Linked DNA regions of Xenopus tropicalis. The protein of the gene in region 1 purifies or fractionates together with the protein of each later gene. This does not show direct contact. Links are inferred from orthologs where the notes say so. Each region holds a gene or a part of one and is shown on either strand. Other genes may lie near its edges.

Region 1 (4,098 bases):
AGTGCCATTGAGTCCTATGGTAGGCTTCCGAAATCATGCACCGAAGGTTCAGTCAGAAAGTTTTTCACGCCATTTATGATTGTTAAGATACGAAAATTTCATAACTTTCGGATCATATCACAATACAAATTTTCGCGCAATTAACTCACATCAGAAATTATCACATTTAACCCGAATTTTTCCAAAACATACTTTACATTAATTTAAATTCGGACTTTAATAAATCTGCCCCCAAGTGTACAAATTCATTTAAACCTTTTATTTAGTTTTTTTCTCTGAACAGTGTTTTATTGCCCTGTTTGCAAGCTTATTACCCTGCATAATTACTTTTTACATTTTATATTGATGATTTTATTGCATTTTTAATGGTTTTATTTAATTTTTAGTGTATCAGTGCTGCCAACACAGTGTTAATTAGAATTAACTGTGCCCACATTAATGTGTGCAGTTTAGGTTTGCATGAATTATTGTTAGTCAATAAAAATACAAAACCCACAAAAGAATAAAGTATTTTACGCAGGAATATTTTTTTGGGGGGGGGTTATGTAGAAGCCATCAGAGGGAACCACTTACCATCACAAATACCTACACAGCAAAAGCAGAACTCCACTGCAGAAAATCTAATAATGTTCTGCATTTAATAATCCCCGCTGAGGCAGAACAACATAGATTTGAACTTTCTCCAGTTTTCAGAAATCAATAATGTACATAAACTAGGTTAAATGATACCGATGTTGGGCTGGAGCTACAATGCTTTGCGCAGTTTGCACACATTACGATACCTCGTTTTAGCAAACACGCTTAACATTTTATCAGCACAACTTCATTGCTAGAGGTACTGCACCATCCAGCTTCTCTTCCCTGCATCACGTACAGCACACAGAACGTCACCCACTGACCGCAAGGGAGGAGGTCTTAGCAATCTGCCCGTGCAGGGGCTGCTCCGGAAACCCCGTACTGTTCAGGGACCGAAACCCTACACAATATGCTGCAATATCTTTCCGCGGAGAGCACAGACGACTCATCGACAAAAAAATAGTACCTATACCACAAAATAACATAAGAGTACAAAATATTGTCGTACGAGAATAAATAATAAAATAATCTCTACCGCTTTTGGGTTGTAATCCTGAATAGTATGAGACTTGCACGCATTAGTCAATAAAATCGTCTTTTTACTGGTGTTCGTCCGCGGTTCGGAATGTAGTCCCAGTTGTATAAATCGGACGTGGTAGCTTTCCAAGTCCTTTTCAGTTGAGCTCTGAAGTGCGGTGTGGATCATGTCAGGCGGTTCTGCGGATTATACTAGGTAACTGTTTTGCACAAGTTATTGAACGAGGATTTTTAGGTAGCCCTAAAAGAGGGAGTGGGTGGTAGAGACTATAACATTTAGTGGCAATATATATTTGTTAGGGGCTGAGTGTAAGGCCTTCTTGGTCGGCTTTACACGCGGGCTTCTTCAGGGCTCTGCGAATTCCCGGAATCTTGTGCCAAATGCTGCAGGGTGTTGTAGTTGGGTAGTAACTAGAAGCGGTATGGCGAGGTGTTCCTGACCGTAATGATGCCCTGCTCTGCACATGAGTAAGCTTTGGGAATGCGGCTATGTCTTTTGGTTGCGGACCTACGCACAATTTTAGAGCGAAACGGTTTGGATTCACCTAAGGGCTGTGGCTCTCATCCGCAGGGTGGGGAGGGGGGGAAGATGGCGCCGGCAGAACATGGCGCCATGAATTGTGAGCACTGTGCGAAGGGCGCAAGAGCTTGGCTGTATGCTTCGCTACGGTTACTAATTAATTTGATAGGTAATTGTTATCCTGTGATAGATATATACTTTATTGGGTACAGATGTTAAGTAAGCAACTGTCCCATCACTGTTAAATGTAAGCAGGATACTGTAGCAGCTGCAACATCTTGTTATGCCTGTTAAATGAATGTAACTGCAGCAGCTGCCTTCTTTAGGCTGTGTGCCTCTTATACATCAACTTGTATATATGCATGTGCCAATATAGCTGCTGCTCTGTAGCTTGGGTGGTGGTGTATGTCCGTTTGCTTAAGGCAAAGACATGACTTGAAGTGCACTTGTGTTATTCTTCTCAGAGACCATGGAGGCCCTGATGGTATGGACCCCGATGGTGTCATTGAGGTGAGCATAATGCTTATTTCTCCTTTTATGTTAAATTCTGCTTCTCACTGATAAATAACTGGTTAACTTGCCATTGCAGAGCAACTGGAATGAAATTGTTGACAATTTTGATGACATGAATCTTAAAGAATCTCTTCTGAGAGGCATTTATGCTTATGGTTTTGAAAAACCATCAGCCATACAACAAAGGGCAATCATTCCCTGTATCAAAGGTAAGAAAAGTTCACATCTGAGTAGGTAGAATAAAAAGCTTCCCTTAATACAAGTGAGATGATGGCATACCATCTTTCGGGACTGAGTTGATGTGAAGAGTTTTTCTGTTTTGCTGATCACTTGTATATTATGTGACTAATAGTTAAAGTGCCAAAATAAAATGTGGGAACATTGAATGTGTATCCTACTTTTTTTAGGGTATGATGTGATTGCTCAAGCTCAGTCAGGTACTGGCAAGACAGCCACATTTGCTATTTCCATCCTGCAGCAGCTGGAGATTGATCTCAAGGAGACCCAAGCTCTAGTATTGGCCCCTACAAGAGAACTCGCTCAACAGGTATTGATAGGCTAGTATGTGCTGCACAGGCTTCAGTTTAATAACTAAACACACTAGCGAACGCTTAATGATAAAATACTGAATATCTAAAGGGAAACTATCTGTTTCTTTAACTGATGTAGCTAGTGGTGCATAAATTTGTTGCAGTATTATGGCAGGGAAATTAAGTTAAACCTAAAGCAAAGTGTTTTCATTTAACCGTACTGCTGATTATCACTAATAAGCCGCCATACTGTGTCCACCCCCCGTTTTTGTGTAGTAGTAGTATAATGAGCAGTGTTCTTAAATGTCATTATCTGTGCTACTTACTTATTAAAATATACTAGTAAGTAACTTCACAGCAAAGGATTTTTTTTAACTCTTCTTCCTACCATTATGGTGTTTACTTTAGTGTTCTTAGGCCCTTGGGTTATAATGACTAAAGGCATGATCTAAGCAGTCATGTATCTGGCTATTTAAAATATCCTTAAGGCTGCAGTTGCCAACAATGGCAGACTGGTCCAAAAGGCCAGGCGACACCTGATTTAATATTGCTTCCTAAGGGGCATACTAATTTGAAACCATAGTGACCTTTGTAGTAAGACTTGCACATTTGTTTAATGTGCTAAATAGGTGTGGGTAAATGTGTATATAAAGTCTCTAAGAAACATGGCTTTCTGTGGGAAGATTACCCAGCCTCCATTAAAGAATGTTTTACTCCATTGATTAACTGTAATCTAATGAAGCTAATGAAGATGTGCTAAACTAAATTAGTGCATTAGCCCATAGCAACCATTTGGCAGTGACCATTTTCTAACAAATTAGAACATCAGATCTATTTGCTGACTGGCTTCTATGGCTAATCGCACTGATGTGGTTTGAACAGCTAGCAGATCCTTAGGGCCACATTTACTAGTCTGTGCTGAAGTGCTGTACCTGGCTTCTTGAGTTGGTTAGGCCTAGAATTCATGAACCTTTGTAATATGGCTTGAACATACTACACATGCATTAAGGGTGTGGTTTGCCAGCCAAGCTGATGGCATCAACCATATTTGAACTGTTCTACGACAAGGGCTTTGGAGTGCAGTACTTATGCGTATCATTTTAGAATCAAACATGACTTTTTTTTTTTTTTTTTATAAAAATTCTTGTATCCCTGTCAGCAATTACTAACCATGCACTCTACTCTCCCTTTCACAAAAGACTTTAATGAAGCCCCACAGCAATTATTTTTACAGTACTTTAAATCCTCTTTAAAGACCCTTAGATTATTATTTGTGCACCTCTTTCTACATATTAAAATATTGACTTAAGTGTCCTGTAGTGTAGCATATCTGCACTGTAAGTTCCTCCTGTGGCATGGAAAAGCTTTTAATCTTTGTGCATATTTGACATATAGCCTATTTTCTGGTACATATGCACAGGA
Region 2 (4,093 bases), about 6.1 Mb from region 1:
GCGTGCCACTTCATTCATTCGGAGCCATGGGGAGAGGACGCGCTAAAGTTTTGGCGCTTCCTCTCCCCATTATTCTGCACGGGGGCAAATTGTTCTGGTGTGGGTGTGGGCCTGGGTGTACTGCCAAACAGAGCCTGATGTAGGCTGCCAGTCAATATAGGGGCTACAAAATAACCAATCAGAGTCCCTATTTGTAACCCCAGGAACAGTTTTCATGCTTGTGTTGCTCACCAACTCTTTATACATTTGAATGTTGCTCACAGGTAAAAAAAGTTGGGGATCCCTGCTCTACATCATACTACTAAGGGGCAGATTTACCAAAGCACGAATTCAAATCCCGAATGGCAAAAATTCAGATTGGAAATGAAAATTTCGCTGTCATTTCGTCGCCGTCGCAACTTTTTCGTATTTGTTTCGACTTTTTCTTCGCCGGTGCGACTTTATCGTATTTTGCGCGACTATTTCATCGCCGTCACGATTTTTTTGTATTGAGCAATTATAAACGCCGGAAAAACCAATCCGATTTTTTTGCGACGGCGACGAAAAAAGTCGCAGAAAATATAAGAAAAAGTTTGACGGCGACGAAAAAGTCACGGAACATACGAAAAAGTCATGACGGCGACGAAAAAGTCGTAAAAATACCGATCATTACAAAAAAAATGCATTCGGACCGTGGATTAGTAAATGTGCCCCTAAGTCACAAAAGAGTTCCATGACAAAGTCACTGCACAAGGAGAAGTACTTTTATACAGATCATGGAATTCTGAGGTGGCTCCTAATATCCTCAGTTATTTTACAACAGGGAATACATTGTTTATTATAATACACACGTTTCAGTGAGTCATATGAAATAAGCTGCATCACAGGATAGTCACGGTTCTTGTGTGCGTTTGTATACATTGTTTTAAAATAAATAAATATATATATATATTGGAATTCTAAATAGGACGTTGGTAGCAACATCACAAAATGAATTTTTGCTAAACATTACCGTTTTGTAGTAAAAGTAAGTCATTATAATGTAGATACGCGCTACATACACTTCTGAAATAATTTCTCACACATAGTCGCAGCAGCTTGGCTAGTAGACAAAATGAACACGCATATGTTCGGGAATACAAAATCTTTAAACACACACTATATCGAGCAAAAATCTCGCATTAGCCCTAACACACTTCAAGTCACGTGATACCGGCAACATTCTAATCACGTGATGTGTGCAGGGAAGACAACGCGGCGCTAGTTTGTGCTCTTCCCTTTCCGCTTTTAGTCTGTCACGTGGATTGGGTCTGCGCTTGCGTAGAGGTTCGCCGGGATCCGGAAATGGTTGAGCTAGCTGGTGCGACTGCGCCCGGCTGCGCGGACTGAGGAAAGCAGGTGAGAATCGGTGGGGCCTGATTTGTAATCCATTGCCATCCTTCGTCCTGTTAATGCCTGTCGAGTCTGAAACGTGAATTGGTAACTTACTAGTGGCGCTTACCCACCGGCACCGCGTGGCGCGATGTCCGTGTACTTAAAGCTGCCTCACCATGGCCTGTCCGTATGAGGCCCTTAACAACCCTTTTAGCTGTCCTTCATAGCTAAAGTCCGCTCGGCGTGAGAGTCGAGCAGACAAGATTGGCATTTCATGTTGTGTTGTTTGTGTAAATGTGAGGAGAGATGGATGGAATTGCTTACTGAAGCCGGTTCCGTATGGAGCGGCACAGCGAGGAGTACGTGTGACATTGTGTCAGTTTAGGTGGGTAGCGCGGAGGGGGCGGAGGCGCAGTGACATCATGCACCTCATGAGTTACAGCATGCACCGGCAATCAAAATGTCCTCCATCAGGGGCTTTAATGGCTCCGTAGGCTCAGGAACTCCATGCGGTTATTCGGCGGGCATGAATGAATGGCACCATACCGTTTCAACGCGAAAAGAGCTTGTGCTGGTAGGGAGTGGGAAACTTAGCTTGCCCTATTGTTTTATATGGCACGTCATTTCTTTTGTGACCCTCCACTGTTCATTTGCGGCCAGTTCTATCCGTGATAGTGCATTCAAATAATATATTAACACGTTGGAACTGTAAAAAAATAAGCTGCCTTTCCTGAAACTTCTAGGACTTGATATCCCAGTTTAGGAAGACAGGTTCTCCCATCTTTTTCTTCAGCTCAAACTTAAATGAGACTTTTTTTTTTTGTAACTATTGTTATTTCTGTTAACATATGTTTTAACTGGATGTGTGTCTGTGGGTGGGTGAAGGGCGGGCACTATGGGTGACACTTAGTTTTGCTGAGTAAGTGAAAGTAATCCCACAAAGGCTATATAGTGTGCTTGCTTCATCTGCACCCCACACCCACCCTAGGGTGCTCTAGCATGCTGCTTCTTAATCTTTTACTGATGGCACTGCCTTTTTTTTTTTTTTTTTTATTATAACACTGCCATTTTATAGCATCAACTTTGTGTGTAATACATATAATGTCAAATTATATATAACGGCACTCACTTAATGGAGAGAATGTCTGGGTGCATACCCACCCCAAATATGTAATATAGAATGTCATATAAAGCAGAGTACTTACAGGACTTGAATGTATGGTGAAAAAGAAATGTCCTGTCCTTACTTTTAAGTCCTGTAAGCACCCTAAGATATATATTCATATAATTTACATTTTTGACCCTGAGAATAACTTGCATTTATAAATTTGTATGGTTATGCTATCACATGGTTGTTTTAGTTCTGTTTTATTCTGTGTAGCTCTGGTATAGGCAAGACACTAGTTAACCTTCCTTATCTTTGAAACTGTAAACTTAGCTCTGCTGCCCTAATTGTGAAACATTTCTTGAAGCAGTTGATTGCAGTAGTGGTAAACGAAACTGGTGTAGTGTGTTAGTGGCGGTGGTTAATTGGGCAGTTTGGTGCAGATCTTTTTGATAGTAGATCAGGCAAATGGACGTAAGAGACAGCTCCTAAAAATATGGGGTTAGCCTGATAGTAGCCTTCAACACTCCTGCCTTTATTACTTCTGTATTTATATCCATGTCCATCATTTGCATGCTTTCAAGGTCTGCTTTAGTGTAATGAGTAGAGGACCCCGGATCATTTGACTTTAACGCGCCACAGAATCAGTTATGTTCTGTCACCTGTTGCATTATGCATCAGTAGAACTTGTACGACTTCTCTGTTTCTTTGTTATAATTGTTTTACTAAGGTTTTAACAATGCTGCATACATGTTTTATTAAATATTATATTTAGTCAACAGTTTAGCATTATATCTTAATTATCTATGTAGCGCTGACTTATTCCACAGTGCTTTACAGATATTTATGTTTACATGAGTCCCTGACAAAATTGAGTTTAAAATCCAAATCGGTGTAAATCTCATCTGCTGGTTAGTACCTGCTTTTTTTTTATTTATTTTTTGCATAAGTCACTGTATAACCACTAGGAAATAATAACATCTGTTATAAAAAAAAACAAACATTTTTGTTAGCAACTTTAAAAAAGTAAAGTTTAAATCACCGGGGGTTGTCTATATTAGGTACCCTCCAGTGATTAAGATTGCTTGCCATATACCCTGGGCCAGTGCTTCTGTTTGCTAAAAACTGTCCGGACCCAGAGTAATTTCTGCTGCAGATCCTTATCGCCACCTTCTTCTGAGTCTTTCTTCTGTTCCAGTTGACCCATTCACAGTAGAATGAAAGCCGAAATTAAAAATAAAAAGCTGGCTCTTGCACTCTAGTGCACATGCGCACTCCCACTCCACGGTGAAAAGAGGAGAAAGCACAGAAGAACTTCTGCAGAAAAACCCCAGTCTGGTGCAGCTTTCTGCTAACAGGAGCACTGGTCCAGTGTATCGAGTAAGCCATTACGATTACTGGGAGGGTGCCTAACACTTGGCACCCCCCAGTTATTTAGACTTTCCTTCTCCTTTAATGATGATCTTCATGAAACCAACATGAACACTCAGGTGTGATGCTTGGCAGTAAAACCTGTTCATGTGACTAACTTTTTTTTCAGAATAAATGTCAATCAAAATTCCTTTATTAAAGGAACAGTAACACAAAAAATGAAAGAGCTTTAAAATAATAAAAATATAATGCACTGTTGCCCTG
Region 3 (3,565 bases), on another chromosome or scaffold:
TATTTAATGGTTAAATGATTCCCTTTTCTCTGTAATAATAAAACAGTGCCTGTACTTGATCCCAACTAAGATATAATTACCCCTTATTGGAGTGGATCAATCCTATTGGGGTTATTTCATGTTTAAATGATTTCTTACTAGACTTGCTAGTCTTACTAGACTTAAGGGTTTGAGATCAAAATTATGGAAGAATCCCTTATCTGGAAAATCCCAGGCCCTGAACATTTTGGATAACAGGTCCCATACCTGTAAGTCTGTTGACATCATATAAGGAGGGCTGTTTGTCCCTCAGGACACCTTGCCTAAATTAAACCCTTCTCCTTGTTTTTTGATTGTAAGCTCTAATGAGCAGGACGCTTTTTAACATTTTAACACTGTTCAGCCGAAGAGTGCCTAAGCCCTCCAATGGCCTGCTTGCATGTAATCCTGACATCCCGGATCCAGTCGATTTGATTTGGTCATTTGGCGCTAAGGATCAATCCAATATTGTTCACCTTGGGGCAGTCATATTGGGGAAATATCCGCTTGTTTGGCCAAACGAGCAGATCTTTCAGTGTGGCCAACTTTAGTTCAGCTGTTCAGGAAATGTTGTTGTTATTTGGTAATAATATATAACTCTAAAGTGATGTTGTTGGAAGTGGGGAAAAAAACAAGAGAAAAAATAGGTTTAGAATTAAAACTCCTGTAGAGACCAGTGACTCAACCTACACCCATGTCTGCAACCCACAGGCACCTGCTGTAGAATGGTTGCTAAAGGAATGGTTGGTGGTTACATAGTCGCTTGGCATTTTTTCACACTTTTATGTACAGTCCATATAGGTTTCTGGGTATCTGGGCCTTTGTATTTAATCTGTGTCTGTTCCTTTTACCCTACCCAGTAACCACCTGGAGAAAAGCCTGCAGCTCCTTATGGACAGAGTGGATGAACTGAGCCAGGACATTGTGAAATACAACACTTACCTGCGTAATATCAGCAAGCAGCAGCAGCAGAAGCACCAGGTGGGTTACCTTTATTGGCTCGGGGAATAGAGCGCTTCCTACATGGGATGTGGCTTTGCTTGATCCTCGGGGGCAGGGCCGGGAATGCTATCATGGGAAAACATGTTTTTTTCAAAACCAATCCATTAATAGAGCTTCTCCAGCAGAATCCTGCATGGAAATCTGTTTTTCATAAACACACAGATTTTTTTTTTTATATTCATTTTTGAAATGTCACATGGGGCTAGCCATTGTCTTCATTTCCCAGGGTGCCACAGCCATGTAACCTGTGCTCTGATAAACTTCAGTCACACTTTACTGCTGCGCTGCAAGTTGGAGTGATACCCCCCCCCCCCCCCAGCAGCCGATCAGCAGAACAATGGGAAGGGAGCAAGATAGCAGTTCCCAGTAGGTATCAGAATAGCACTCAATAGTAATAAATCCAAGTCCGGCTTGGGACTCCTCCAGTTACATGGGAGTAGGAGAAACAATAGGTTAGCTGAAAGCAGTTCTAATGTGTAGCGCTGGCTCCTTCTGAAAGCTCAGACTCTGGTACAATGCACTGAGATGGCGCCTACACACCAATATTACAGCTAAAAATACATTTGTTGGTTCAAGAATAACATTTTAAATGACAGAGTGAATTATTTGCTGTCTAAACAGTGTCATTTAAAAATAAAAGGTATACCGTAAAAATTATGACCGAATCTCTTTAACCTATGTACTTTAACTATATAATAACAATAGCAGCTGGAAGGCCCCCATGTTTGACACTCTTGCTGCAGAGCCATCAGTTGCGCCCCCCCGGGCCCATGAAATAACGCTGCCCTGTGAATATTACAGGTTATTCAGTATGCTTTGCAGCCTTTCCTCATTTCTTAGTCTATTACATTTACCCTGATCCCCGTGTGCAAACTAATGAAGCGTTTTCGCCAGATGAATAGAAACGCCTGTATTTTTCCGTATTTGATTCAAGAAAGCTAAAGCGTTTGAAGGTATTTAAGAAACAAGTGGAAAGCCGGTCATTAACCAGCCCCCCCCCCCCCTCTTCTCTCTCCAGCGTTATCCATTGCAAAATATCACTCAAGACTATAATTTTATCATAGGAAGCAAAGGAGAAAAAAAAAGTTTAGCCTTGCAGGCTTCATTTACCTCTAATTGCTTTGGTTGTGGTTCATTACAGCATCGTTAATGTCCCTTACGCCAATTACATAAATCCGCGCTTGTGCTCAAAAGCTGTTTGTTTCGGCTGTGAATGTTACCGGCGCACCTATGCTAACTTCTGCAGCTTTTCTTATATACAGAGGTATTTGGCGGCACAAATCTGCAGTCTGTGGGGCACAAAGAAAGTCCGTTCTTCTCTAGGGATTTTTAAATCATTTTGCAGAACCTTAAAGGGATAATACACTCAATATACTCATCCTACACAATCCTCCTTTTTTCCATTTATTGTATTTTTTTTTCTTTATACGTTACTCTGTGGCCAGGCAAATAAATGTCTCCTAATGTCGGTGTGCAATAAATAAATGCAACACAACTAGCTAATAATATGTTGTTTTTTCTGTCTCATTGCAGTACACGCAAAGAAGGCAACAAGAAAACCTACAGCGCCAGAGCCGCGGAGAGACCTCTTTGCCCGAGGAAGATGTAAACAAGCTGTTTAAGCCCCCTGTGCCTCCTTCCAGAATGGATTCCCTTCTTATTGCAGGTAATGTGGGTAATGCACTGGGCAGTGGCCATGTCTCTTGCACTTTTTTTAAAAAGCGTATTACTGATAAATACCTGACTATGACTACTGATTGTGTCCTACACACAATCTCACACTTCCAAAATACTATTAAAGGACACGTTAACCCAATAAAATAATTTTTGCCTAATTAAAGAAAACATTATTCTTAGCAACTTTGCAATATACATTTATTACAAATTTGTAATGGTTATTTGCATATATAATTGCTATAAGAAGCAGTGTTTGCCAGTCCTTTTCTATTCCCTGCCCTGGGGGTTCTGGCATTTGGAACAATGTAACACAGGGATCCCTAACCAGTGGCTCAGGGGCAACATGTTGCTCTCCACCCCCTTTGATGTTGCTCCCAGTTGCCCCAAAGTAGGTGCCATTTTTACATTTCTGACTTGGAGGCAAGTTTTGGAAGCCCAGACACAGTTTTACTCCAAGCAGAGCTTCTTGCAGGCCTGCAATTCACATGGGGCTACTAAATAGCCAATCGCAGTCATTAATGCTCGCCCACTCGAAAAAATTTTCACGTCTGTGTTGCTCCCCAACTTTTATTTAATTGAAACGTTGCTCACGGGTTAAAAAGGTTGGGGAATCCTGATGTAACACAAGGCAGCAGCCTGACAGACCTGACTCGCTGGAGGAGACTGACGTTTGCAACATTGTTTAAAAAGTCATAACCAGGAGTTAAGCATATGTGGTCTTCCGTTGGAATTATATTTACAAATAACGCTTGAAACCGTAACCATTTTCAATACATTTATATTACAAAGTTGCTTAGAATTATGTTTTGTTTTATTAGGCAAAAAATTATTTTTTGGGTTGACTTGCCCTTTAAAAGAAGGCTCCTAC
Region 4 (3,565 bases), on another chromosome or scaffold:
TACTTACCCAGGTACAGAGCTCTGATTCTCTGTACTTCCTGCTCCTGGGCTGCTCTCTTTCCCATGGTCAGACAGGCCCCCCCCCCTGGGTAAGTGAATCCAATCTCCCCCCAGTACTTACCCAGGTACAGAGCTCTGATTCTCTGTACTTCCTGCTCCTGGGCTGCTCTCTTTCCCATGGTCAGACAGGAATATAACATGACATTGTGTTTCTCAGTTAATGGCTAATACCCACTCTGTTACAGCCACGTATGGATCAGTACTTTAACCAGATGGAGAAGATCGTTAAGGAGAGAAAAACCTCGTCTAGAATCCGCTTTATGCTGCAGGATGTCATAGACCTCCGGCTGGTGGGTGGAGCCATAATAATAATATAGTGCTCCCTGTCCCCCCCCCCCAGTTTATGTCTTTTGTGCAATGAGATAAGAATGTCGCCCTTTCGGCAGAGTAACTGGGTGTCCCGCCGGGCAGACCAGGGGCCCAAGACCATCGAGCAGATCCATAAAGAGGCCAAGATAGAGGAACAGGAGGAGCAGAGGAAAGTGCAGCAGTTAATGACCAAAGAGAAGAGGAGACCAGGTAAGGAGAGGCACCGCGGCCCCAACGTCCCCCTGCGGGGGGGCCTTATCCCTTTCAGGCAGCAGGGGGCGCTGTGCTTACAGCCTGTGCTTGTCCCCAGCAGGGGTGCAGAGAGTGGATGAAGGCGGATGGAACACTGTGCAGGGGGCAAAGAATAACAGGGTGCTGGACCCTTCCAAGTTTCTGAAAATCACTAAGGTAAGGAGGCTGCCCCCTCCCGTGGCACTGAGCTCAGCCCATGCCTTGTTGCTTTGGTTAGGGGGTTCCTCCGATAAATCTGTGCCAGCCTTGCCCGCAGTTACTGGATTAATTACCCCCCTCCTCTGTGGTATCTGTAGAGTGCTAGCTTCTCGTTCTCCTGTATGTGCCCTTCTGAGTGACGCCCTGGCATCTCTCCCCTGGCATCTCTCCTGGCACAGCCTTACAGGTCTCTGCGTGTATTACAGGGCATTCAGGGTGTGCCCAGGGGATTTTGTATTTACCCCCCCTCTCTTTTTTGCCCTCAGCCCACTATAGATGAGAAGATCCAGTTGGTTCCCAAAGCTCAGCCTGGCAGCTGGTTAAAGGGGAGCAGCGGAGGTGCCAAGGCTAGTGAGACTGGTAAGAGCTCAGGCTTCCCTCTCTGGGCTGGGGTAGTTAGTAGCCACAAACCCCACGTGCCCCCCCAGCTAATGCATTGCTCATTGTCTGTTCTGTTAGAATCTCTGAGACCGGGAGCCCCCAGCCTGAACAGGTTCTCTGCTCTGCAGCAGCCGCTCTCCTCTGTGTCTTCCTCCTCCTCATCGTCCCCCTCTGAGCTGGACTCTCGCAGGTTACTAACCAGGTAATGTGGCCCTCACATTGCTCTGTGGCCCCTCGCATTGGTCGGTGTCCCATTTTGTATCCTCCCCCACTGCTGCTAGACCTTGGGCATTGTGTTCCTAATTAAAGGGGAAGTAGAACCCACACCTATAAAGCTGCTGAATAAACATGAAACCCAAATTCTTTTTTTTTTTTTTTTTTTTTTCAATGAAAACCCCCAAACCTGTTATAAAGAGATTTAGTCATCTCAGTTGTCAATCAAATATAGCCTGCCCCGCCTCCGTGCCTCAGGCACCTCCTTCTCTTCCCATTTTACACTTACTGCAGGGAACTGCCCCCTCCTCTGCCTATAGTTGGGCACTAGGCCAAAGCCTTAGGAACAGCGCCACAAACTGGCACCTACCTGCCCGCTGTGACTCCCAGGACCCTCTACGAATTCTTTCAATAAATCTGAGGTGCGCAGCATCTGGCGCAGGGAGGTATCACAGGCCTGGTCTCAGCATTGGCTCCTCCCTCCCTATTGTTGGGAGGGGCTTGCCCCAATGGTTCTGGTGGGTAACCAGCTTCCTTCTTTGTGGGCACTTGGAAACCAGGAAGCATTTGCTGATGATCATGGGAGTTGTAGTGATGACCTGATACTAGAACATGTGACCTGACCGTTGTTTTGGGGTTTAGCAGCCGTGGAAGCACGGGGCGAGAGAAGAACGACAAACCCTCTGCGCCCTCCTCCATCCCGTCTGCGCCCCGACCCGGCACCCTCCTGCGCGGCAGCAGCAAAGACTCGGCCGACAATCAGGAAGAGCTGCGCCGGGAGACGCTCCAGACGGTCAAACAGCTGACGAACGTCGCCGAACCCGACAAGAACACTGTGCCAGAGAGACGGCCCAAAGAGCCAGGTGAGACCCTGCGGTTCTGCAGATAAGCTCCGCCCCAAGCCAGGACCCTTGTCTGTGTGAATCATTAGGGGGCGTGGCTATTTCCACCATTTTACTCACACAGATTTATCATTTCCCAGCCAAGTCCGAGCCGTCGGAACCAGACAAACCCACCCTGTCAGAGGAGGAGATGGAGAGGAAATCCAAGGCCATCATTGATGAGTTTCTCCATATTAATGACTACAAGGTACTGTGTGTGTGTGGGAGGGCGGCCCGGTGGGTTGCAATAAGGGCACGAGAAGCCTGGGTGGGTCCAATGGGTGCATATGGCTTTCCCAGACTCCTCCCCTTCCCGATCATTGGTCGCTAGAACCTTCTCCCTGTGTCTCCGCCCATCAGGAGGCCATGCAGTGCGTCGAGGAGCTCGGTGCCAATGGGCCGCTCTCAGTCTTCGTACGACAGGGGGTGGAGTCAACGCTGGAACGGAGTCAGATCACCAGGGATCACATGGGTCAGCTCCTCTACCAGCTGGTCCAGTCTGGCAAACTCAGCAAACTGGACTTCTTCACTGGGTGAGTTTTAATCGCTGGTTTTGTTCTGTTGGGGCTGCGTTAGTACGACTTTAATGTTGCTATGGAAGCGTGGGCACTAGCTGTATCCTGGCCATGACCATAGGGGGGCGGTCTTTTGCTTATGGGTTTGGGTCACAACGTTCTGTGCCAACGCCGCAGGTTCTCGGAAACGCTGGAGCTGGCCGACGACATGGCGATCGACATCCCGCACATCTGGCTGTACCTGGCGGAACTGGTAACCCCCATGTTGAAAGAAGGCGGGATCTCTCTACGAGAGCTGATAACGTGAGTGGGGGGGAATGAAGTTTGTATAGGAGGCGGGACTTAGGGCGATAAGGCAATTACAGCCATGAACCCTGGGCTTTCTTATCATCTGTCAGGAATCTCATACCAAGGGCCACGCAGTCTCCTCTATCCGTTAGGGCCCCATCTGGATTATTTAGTCCCCAAATTCCCCCAGCGTGGCACCATGGCAATGTGGCTCCTCCCATTAACTGCTTTTTCCTACACAGAGAGTTCGGCAAAGCTCTGCTCCCTGTGGGACGCGGAGGGGAATTATTGTCGGAAATATTGCACCTTCTATGCAAACAAATGGTACGTACCGGCTTTCCCAGCGATAGATGGGGGGGGGGGGGCGTTAGGTCTTTCTGTCCCAGTGAGTGGGCCGAGTACCTATTTGGGGTGCTCCAACCTCATTGGTCCTGTTGCCCCTTACAGAGCCATAAGCGAGTAGCCGCG

What was found.
Region 2: the proteins of eif4a2 (region 1) and eif4g1 purify together in Homo sapiens (affinity purification with mass spectrometry; 6 studies listed by BioGRID and IntAct, with this or other methods). This does not show direct contact. The link is inferred for Xenopus tropicalis from reciprocal best matches to the Homo sapiens genes EIF4A2 and EIF4G1.
Region 3: the proteins of eif4a2 (region 1) and eif3h purify together in Homo sapiens (affinity purification with mass spectrometry; 3 studies listed by BioGRID and IntAct, with this or other methods). This does not show direct contact. The link is inferred for Xenopus tropicalis from reciprocal best matches to the Homo sapiens genes EIF4A2 and EIF3H.
Region 4: the proteins of eif4a2 (region 1) and eif4g3 purify together in Homo sapiens (affinity purification with mass spectrometry; 3 studies listed by BioGRID and IntAct, with this or other methods). This does not show direct contact. The link is inferred for Xenopus tropicalis from reciprocal best matches to the Homo sapiens genes EIF4A2 and EIF4G3.

The regions. Positions count from the first base shown.
Region 1 is NC_030681.2:105,926,327-105,930,424, reverse strand, and holds the start of eif4a2 (eukaryotic initiation factor 4A-II), read left to right. Parts: upstream 1-1,254; 5' UTR 1,255-1,280; coding exon of another isoform or gene 1,281-1,309; intron 1,310-2,097; coding exon of another isoform or gene 2,098-2,143; intron 2,144-2,222; coding exon of another isoform or gene 2,223-2,292; coding exon 2,293-2,355; intron 2,356-2,406; exon of another isoform or gene 2,407-2,478; intron 2,479-2,553; coding exon of another isoform or gene 2,554-2,693; intron 2,694-4,098. UniProt on the Homo sapiens protein: ATP-dependent RNA helicase which is a subunit of the eIF4F complex involved in cap recognition and is required for mRNA binding to ribosome.
Region 2 is NC_030681.2:99,828,110-99,832,202, reverse strand, and holds the start of eif4g1 (eukaryotic translation initiation factor 4 gamma 1), read left to right. Parts: upstream 1-1,256; 5' UTR 1,257-1,377; intron 1,378-4,093.
Region 3 is NC_030682.2:136,690,026-136,693,590, reverse strand, and holds part of eif3h (eukaryotic translation initiation factor 3 subunit H), read left to right. Parts: intron 1-878; coding exon 879-999; intron 1,000-2,553; coding exon 2,554-2,686; intron 2,687-3,565.
Region 4 is NC_030683.2:132,837,503-132,841,067, forward strand, and holds part of eif4g3 (eukaryotic translation initiation factor 4 gamma 3), read left to right. Parts: intron 1-245; coding exon 246-350; intron 351-446; coding exon 447-579; intron 580-679; coding exon 680-777; intron 778-1,085; coding exon 1,086-1,179; intron 1,180-1,278; coding exon 1,279-1,402; intron 1,403-2,055; coding exon 2,056-2,276; intron 2,277-2,395; coding exon 2,396-2,502; intron 2,503-2,654; coding exon 2,655-2,827; intron 2,828-2,986; coding exon 2,987-3,112; intron 3,113-3,339; coding exon 3,340-3,421; intron 3,422-3,544; coding exon 3,545-3,565. UniProt on the Homo sapiens protein: Component of the protein complex eIF4F, which is involved in the recognition of the mRNA cap, ATP-dependent unwinding of 5'-terminal secondary structure and recruitment of mRNA to the ribosome. Functional homolog of EIF4G1.